2 linked regions of the Coturnix japonica genome follow. The protein of the gene in region 1 interacts with the protein of each later gene in a pairwise test. Links are inferred from orthologs where the notes say so. Each region holds a gene or a part of one and is shown on either strand. Other genes may lie near its edges.

The links.
Region 2: the proteins of TAX1BP1 (region 1) and MAP1LC3C interact in binary tests that used the Homo sapiens proteins (3 or more experiments, as listed by UniProt). The link is inferred for Coturnix japonica from reciprocal best matches to the Homo sapiens genes TAX1BP1 and MAP1LC3C.

The regions. Positions count from the first base shown.
Region 1 is NC_029517.1:30,157,397-30,161,786, reverse strand, and holds the start of TAX1BP1 (tax1-binding protein 1), read right to left. Parts: upstream 2,860-4,390; 5' UTR 2,745-2,859; intron 1,515-2,744; 5' UTR 1,508-1,514; coding exon 1,331-1,507; intron 1-1,330.
Region 2 is NC_029518.1:32,120,236-32,124,296, reverse strand, and holds MAP1LC3C (microtubule-associated proteins 1A/1B light chain 3C), read right to left. Parts: upstream 2,434-4,061; 5' UTR 2,378-2,433; coding exon 2,320-2,377; intron 2,241-2,319; coding exon 2,185-2,240; intron 2,077-2,184; coding exon 1,970-2,076; intron 1,206-1,969; coding exon 998-1,205; 3' UTR 661-997; downstream 1-660.

The sequences.
Region 1 (4,390 bases):
ATTTTGTTCAATACAATCAGAAAAAAGTTCTTAGTGAACCAGATGAGCAAACACAGGAAGGAATACAGCCGAAGCCATTGATCCCTAGAACAGAACAGTAGTACACATTAGAACTATCAATGCCACAATGTTCACGGGAAAAAATGTCTTTGTGAAGATGTAGTAAGGTACAAACTGTTCACTGTAAGCATTACTCACACACATATACACTGATAAGCACAGATGTAGTAGGACAGCTGGCTTCATTTACCTCACTGCACTATAACTATATAAAGACAGTATATTCATAACACGTAGTAACAAACAGAAAACAATTTTCACCCTTTTCCCCATCTTGCAACATTTCCTTCCTTCGTAGTGATGAGAATGAGATGGACTAGAAATTCAGCTGTGGAATTCCCCACTAAAAATAATTTACTCCCAAAATGCTGGTCTGAACCTGAAATCGATTCCCAGACTTTGTTCATCACACAAGTGCCTATTTCACATAAAGGGGAGGAAGAAAAGAAATAAGTAAAAGAAAGGGAAGATATGTTACAGCCGTGTTACCTTCCGTCAGCTCAAAGTGTTTCCCAAACAATTGCTAAAGCTGTATTGCCTGCAACTGTCGAAGTAGAATAAAAACCTCATACCTCAATAGCTTATGAAATTATCATCATACACAGTGAAATGAAGCATATCTGTACATTGGACATAGCGTTACATGCAGTCACTGAAAAAAACATTTTGTATTTTCTGCTGTGCTCAAAAAAAATCTAATCTGTATTTTTAGGAACCTAATTGCCTCCCTTACTTAGATTGATACACACAGAACCACAACATTCATTTCTCAGGATACACGTAAATAATACCAAAATGCTTGTGTAACCTGAACAGCACTCTCTTTAAACTTCTGACTTTTCTTCCATTCCTTCGCCCTGTTAACTAAACATCAAGCACGCTCAGTCACACTCCTGTTTGTCAAAACACATCAGGTCATCAAAATACATGGATGTATTTTTAACCAGTTCCTACCAGAGAAATCGCCCTGCTTGTAGCTAATGTCACCCTCTCACAATTCACTGACTGTAGTCACTGAATATATTATTAAAAATCCTCCTCTCAAATCATCTCCATTTAATTCTCTACCACATCATGGCTTCCCTTTACTCCAGCACATTTGTACTTATCACTCCAGCCTCATCTCCGTTAAAAGCTCAGACTCTGACGTCACACTGTGATGCTTCCTCTAACATTTATAAAAGTATTATTTTTCGATTTCTCTATTAGAAACTGGTTAAGAGAAGACAGTGAACAAGTGAAAAACACGAATAGATTAAGTTTTACTTACCTTGAAAATACCAACCCAGTCTTTCTGATGAGGATGGATAAACTGGGTCAGAGTGTAGTGACATTCAAGGTGTGTGTTCGGCAGATAACTTTTTGCCACATTCTGAAAAATCACGTGTGCAAAATTGGATGTCTGTAAAGCGTTAGCTGAAGATGGGACTTCTTGAAAGGATGACATGTTTGATCTGCAACAAAATTGGAGAAGCTGTTACTTCAATATCATGAAGAACTAAGTTAAAAATAACCTGTTCAAAAGATACCAGACAGAGAAACAATTCACTCCTCTGGTCTGACAACAGACCAGCTACAGACCGAGCCCATCAAAACGCAATGCTCCAAAACAATCACTTCTCAGAACAAAAAAAAAAGGCAGTCATCTCAGTGATGAAATGAAAACAGAGAGAAAGCACCACTTAACTGAATGCCCCTACTGCTATAACACAGATAAACTGAGTACCAGAAAGAAGGAAATAAAAGTGGTGGGAAAATGAGGCAGGGTTAGGGTTAGCTATGACTTAATTAAATGTCTTTAGTGACTCTGGATGCTTCAGGGAAATCCGTACTTCTGAATGCTTTTGACAGTATTTCCATAAATAAAATGTTGTTCCCCACTCAGTAAAACTAAGAAAGCTTCATTTTAAGACATTTTAACAAAGGAGAAAGTTTATCTAAACAGGCTTTTTTTTTTCCTTATTTTATTTCTCCTCTCTTCTGATGTCAGCAGACTGGAAGCACATTTGCTGTCCCCACTTTAAACACAGATACCCTTAGTCTTGCACTTTTACTAATAACAACTGAACTGATGGCGCAGACATTCAAGTCTGCATGCAGTTGGATGGATTAGCACTAATTCGGTTGGATTGCAAAAGCTTCCCGTCACCATTTCCCTTCACCACCTCATTCCAAATACACCGTGCTAAAAATTACAGCACCACAAAATGCTTCAAAAGCAAAACATAAGGGTCCATCTCTCTGAATTATTAACAAGTACAAAGCTGCAGTTTCTGCTAACCTAAAAGAAACAGAACAGCCTTACTATATGAAGCTAAGCAACACTGAAAGGAAACAAACCACGTCAATTTTCATCACCTTGGTAAGAAAAAAAAAAAAAAACACTGGAATATAATTTTTTTAAAATAGATTTCCTCAAAAAATTAGGAAGTTTATTCTAAGAATGTGCTAAAAGAAAAAAAAGCGACTTCTGCAGACTGCTCTGCTTTGCAGCCCAGATCCAGGCCTACACAGGCCGCCCCGACCAGCTGATCCCCGTACAGGCGGGGGGGGGCCTCCCGGTGGCGCAGCGCCGCCGCCCGCCGCCTCACATCCCTGCCCGCCCCAACGGGTGGCGAGGACCGGCGGGGAAGGGGCTGCCAACCCGCCCACCCCCCTCAGCTGCACCCCGCAGCGCCCCTTACCTATGCAGGCGCGGAGGACGCCGCGGACATCAACATGGGGCCTCCACCATCAGCGCCACGCAGCCCCGCCCGCCCGCGTCACTTCCAGCCCCGGCCCTGCCCGCTCGTTTGTGCTCGCGTCACACCAGTTTGCGTCTCACAAGCTGCGGATTTAAAGCTTCGGGCCTGTGCCTGTCTCTGAGCCACCAAGGAGTGAGATTAAAGCTCACAGTTCTCCTGCTTGCGTGAATTGGCAAAGTATGTTACCTCATAAATACACAGATTCTACTGGAGCTCTGTCCAGCGCCAAGCTGTAGCTCTTACAGAACAGCAGAGATGAGGAACAGAATTCAGTGATGAGTAACCACCATTGGTGTGTCGGACTTCTCCCAGTACACCCAACACGACCACTACCTCAAATAGTCTTTGAAATCACCTTTACCTCTTTACCGCCGCTGTTTCATCACTATTTCCATTCTCAACAGACAGGCACAATGACCACATTATTGATTTGAGTATCTGGCAAGATTGCCAGCTTTGTAATAGTCACCCCTAATGAAACTAAGCCGGAGCACAGAAACTCTTCAGTCATGAATGGTTGTCTGAAAACAACTTCACGTCTTCACGTGTAACCTGTAAAACAGGTTATTAAGTAATCTTTTTTATTTCTGGACATAACTAGTAATTCCTTAAGTTATTCATATGTTCCATTGGAAAGCAATACATTGTTTTAGAATCATGAAGTCATTAAGGTTGGGAAAAAGCACTTAGATCATCAATTCAACCACCAGCCCATCCCCACCATGTCCCTCAGGACAACAGCTACCCTTGAACACCACCAACACCACTGGGCAGCCTGCTTCACTCTTTCTGACAAAGTATTTTTCTTAACATCCGACCTGAATACCTCCTGGCACAACTTAAAGCCTCTACCTCTCATCACTAGTAACCTGGGAGAAGCCAATTCTCATCTTGCTACAACCTCCTTTCAGGTAGAAGACACAAGAAGTATGTGTACAAGGCTTTTTTTTCCTTAAGACCAAAGGAATTTGTGCAGTGGTAAACAAAATTGGTGCAATAACCAGCCATACATATTTCTGAGGAGGTGGGGAGAGCTATTCTGTCTTATCTATAACCTCCATTTCTTCTTCTCACTGCTCTTTGCACCACATGATGTGATAAAGGGTTGTCTAAGAGTCACAAGACACTGTTCTGCTATGGGCTCTGACTCTGAAAGAACTTCAGTTTCACAGCCAGTATCTGGGAAGTATAAACAGTGATGAGACGAGTAGTTTTGTTTTCACTGACTCTCATTATGTTGTTACTTTATGGAATGTACTGGGAGTTCTGAAATTAAGATGTTCTTTCTTTCGCAGCTAACATAGTTTTTACAGTAAAAGCCTGGGGGGGGGGAATATCCTCTGTTTCCCAATTTTAAAAAGTTATTCACAAAGTGCTCAAGCAGGGTCCCTTAACAGCCCCTACCCAGGGTTGTGTCCCCATGTCTGTTCCATGCAACCTGTTCCAGCTCATCAAGGATGACTGTTGCTCAATCATCCTCACAGTAAAGTCTTTCCTTATGTTCAGACAGAACTTTCATTGTTTTAGATCATGCCCACTGCCTTTTGTCCTATCACTTGGCACCACTGAGAAGAGTCTGGTCCCAT
Region 2 (4,061 bases), on another chromosome or scaffold:
ATAACAAATAGTCAAATTGTTATATTCATTATCCTAAGCTGAGGCTTCTGAAGGTTAACTGCACGCTGCAACAGATTTTTACATAACCTGGTATTCCGATTATGCACAAACTGAACATTTACAACTTTCTGACACATTCCTGATATATTAGAAAGCTGCACTTCAGCTTGAACCTCCTGTCAAGAGTTTCTTCCAATTCATTTTCAGGAAGCTTGTACAATAAATGTATCAGCATGTCACTACATGATAGTTTTGACATTTTCCAGATACGCTGACATACCTCTGTAAGGTACAGCACAAACACCCACACTTGAGGCAAGGCTCACTGAAGTCCCTCAGCAGAAGAGCTGTGCAGGTGCCTGTAGGTGAAAGGGATGACCAGCTTGCCTACAGACCAGACTAGCAGAATTCAATAGAAAGAGCAGAACACTGACCCCTATTCTAGCACTGATGCAACCCTGCTACTCAGGTACTTCAATGAATGAACTGTTTGTAGGTATGAGCCTACTGCTGCATGAGCAGGCTTGAGTTTTGTTATCTCATTGTGAAATTGAATGAGTGGCTGTGCAAGCAACACTCCACTCCAGAAGCCTGGAGCCAGAATCATTCTAGGACCTTTTCCCAGGAAGTCTCTCCCCAAATTAAAACTGACATTCAACCTAGTACTTAAAAGCTTCTTTATTTTATTCTTAAGCAACACCTTAAAAAGCAGTTACATCACAAGATCGGTATTGCAAAAAGTGGAGGTGCAGTTCCAAAACAACAACAACAAAAAAGAAACCCCACAGTGCCTTCCAAGTATAAAAATATACATCTAAATTATCATCCATGGAAAAGTGTACCACCATCTCTGCCTTGAGCCGGTCCTGCCAGCTTTTGGATCATAACTCCGCAGTACAGAGCTCAAGAGCTCATACTGGAGGGAGCATCTCCGAGTCTCATGTCACATGCATGATTCACAGCACAGTGGCTTAGCTGCAGCATATAGACCCCAGCATTAGGTTTTATGGTGGCATTCCATAGTTTTCCCTAAGGTGAGTGAGCAGCATCCGAACATCTCCTGGGAAGCATATGTCATGTACACGAAGCCATCTTCATCCTTGTAGTCCCTGTACACCTCTGCCATGGTCAAAGACATACTCGCTAAGCTCTTGTTGTTCACCAGCAGGTAGAAAGCTTGTGTAGCAGTCAGAGCCATCCTGCTTCTGAATGAAGAGGGAAAAGGAAACAAAGGACCAAGCATTAGCAAATTTAAGGTTTCAACCTTAGTCTATAAAATACATTAAGCAGAATAGTTGCAGCATTTCTTGTACATAGTTTATGCACGAAGACGTTGCTTAGTTTAATATTTCCATCAGAAAGTTAACTGTACTCAGAAACAGGAAGCTTGCTCCAGGGAAAGGCTTAAGCTGCAGGACTGTAGCTGCTACCAAGCCTGAGCCTGGGGCTGCCCATTCCCAAGAAGTGCTGAGTGTAGCTACAATAGGGAATTTCAGCACAGCCTGTTAAACTTAAGGCCTGCCCACCTTCAGAGGAGTCTCACTCAGAGACTTTACACATGAAGACTGGCTGACAAAAGTATCTTCTACATAAGTTAATAACTGGAAACATGGCTTCCACGCACTTTTTGTCACTGACAAAAAATTGCCTTACAATTCCCCAGCACCCCTGCACAGAACGCCCCCCTTTAGGAGACCTCTTTGCCAGTGTATTTGTAAAGAACACCCGGGATGGAGCTGCCACAGGTTTGGGCAACCTGTAAGTGCAACAGGAGCAGCAGGGCAGCAGCAGTTGGATGCAGAGCACAGCCCAGAACCAGGCAGAACGGGAGCAGAGCAGCAGCCTCGCGCCGCCTTTATCCGCCAGTGAGGGGGAAGAGGGACCTCGGGAGCCCCGAGCTCTTCCCTATCAGCTCCCGCTGGGGGAGGCCGCCCCAGGCCCCTCTCACGCGGTAGTGCGCGGCCCTTACCTGATGATGGTGATGAACTGCGTCATGGTCAGCTCCTCGGGGACGAGAAACTTAGTTTTGTCCAACAGGGGAAGGTATTTCTCCTTCTGGTACCTCTCAACGATTACCTGTTTTTAATTAGAGTCACTTAGAAGCCCCAGCGACGTTCCGTTCCCCTCCTTCCAAAATACTCAAGGCAGAAGCCGGGAGCCCCCGCCCGCGGAGCAGCGAATTACCGGGATCTTTGTGGGGAACTTGGCCCTGATGCCGGCCACCTCCTCCCGCCGGGTGGCTGCGCGGGAGAGAGCACAAGCGTTACGTTGTAACGTAGAGAGAGAGAGCACCGTACCGTCCCATCCCCATAACCATACCCAGACTCTTGCGCAGCTTGAAGGGCCGCACCGGCTGCACCCCGGGACCCGCCTGCATCCCGCCGCCTGAGGCCGCCGCCCCGCGCCGCGCCTCTTATGGGCCGGTCCGGCACCGCCCCGAGGGGCGGCGTGTGGCGGGCGGGCTGCTTCGCATTTGGGAGTTGCCTTGGAAGTATCCATCCCAGCATCCATCCCAGCATCCATCCCAGCGCTGCCCAGCCTTGCTTTTGCTTCACGCACACTTCCATGCCAGACGCCGTTCTGTCAAACTGCCCCTCTGCTGCCATCTGTCACACAGCTACAACGTGTAACGAATATTAGGATTCAACCTCTGCTGCCATACCTCCAATGTCTGCCTCTGACATCGTGGGACAGCATCACATAGTATGAAGCATTACTTTCAGGGCAGCCCTCATAAAATACATAACATGGTTCATACATGAAAGTAATACAACTGTTTTTAGTATTTTATATTGAAACAAAACAAAAGAGAGCAACAGCACCATAATTCTGATGAGATATGTGACCTTGTTTGTGAGAAAGTGGCTTATCAGTGTCTGGTTTGCTGGCAGTGGCTGCAGTTCTTATGAGCTCCGAAGGCATTTGTCACATTGTTGACAAAATGTACTCCTCCTGTGCTTTATCCTTGACAAAAGTTGTTCACAAGTGTACGTACTGCCTGACGGCCATCTCAGGAATAAGGTGTGACTGTGAAGCAAGGGATGTTTCTCCCTGGTAAGGGGGTTTATAAAAGTCTGGTGAAGAGCAAGTCCAGCCTGGGAGTGAGATTATATAGTGTCCTGGTCCCGTGACTTATCCCTGACCATGATGTCCTCTGGGATATGTAGTCTTCTTCTGTGAGCTGAACATTCAGTAAAATTATCCATACTTTACATGATGTTATGATGTGGAATACTGATAGCAAAATTACAAAACCATGACACCATCACAGCACAGCTCACCAAATGGCACAACGAACTGAAGTATGTAGAGAGGACAGGGTGTGTTGCTCTGAGGAGCTGCTGAGCCTCAGACTTGGGAGGGGAGCTGTGGCCAGTTTTGGTGCTGTCAACACGGCCCCTAAGGGACCCATCCCCAAGGTAAGCCTCCCCAGCTGTGCAGGAGAGCTCCAGGGCTCCTATCAGAGATGCATGTGGAACACCTGGACTTGGTTCCACACAACCACCAGCACCTTGTTTCCAGAGGGATGTTAGCCTTCACAGGCAGCTGTTTGACAGAAAACTGAGCACCTGACAAGAGAGGGAGGGAGCTGAAGAACGGAACTTCAAGTGAAATTCTTGGCTGTGGCTCTAATTCCTACTGCAGCTAAAAGTGAGCACAGTTAGCAGATGCCCTGCGTTACATCATCTGGAGGCAGAGAGCAAGGGAGGTCATCTGTGTGTCTGCATAGCACCTGTGCTTACACTAGCATCGAATTATCCAGATTCAGACTTGCATGTGGAATGTGATCTTTCTTCTCTCCTTTCCCTTGGAAGTTTTTCTCACTTGCATGTAATTATTGGACTAGTGAAGCACTTCTGCGCAGTGAATGGATTTCTCAGAGTGCCATACTGAAGCACAAGGAAGAAAGGTAACTGTTATTCTTTTTTTACTTGCTCGCATGCCTGAAGACTGCATTGATGGGAGTCCTGTAAGTCCATGGACCTTAATGAAAATGGTTGGCCTGTATTATCTAATCCTGTGTCACTGCCACATTTACAGCCTTTTCCAGGTTGTAGCTG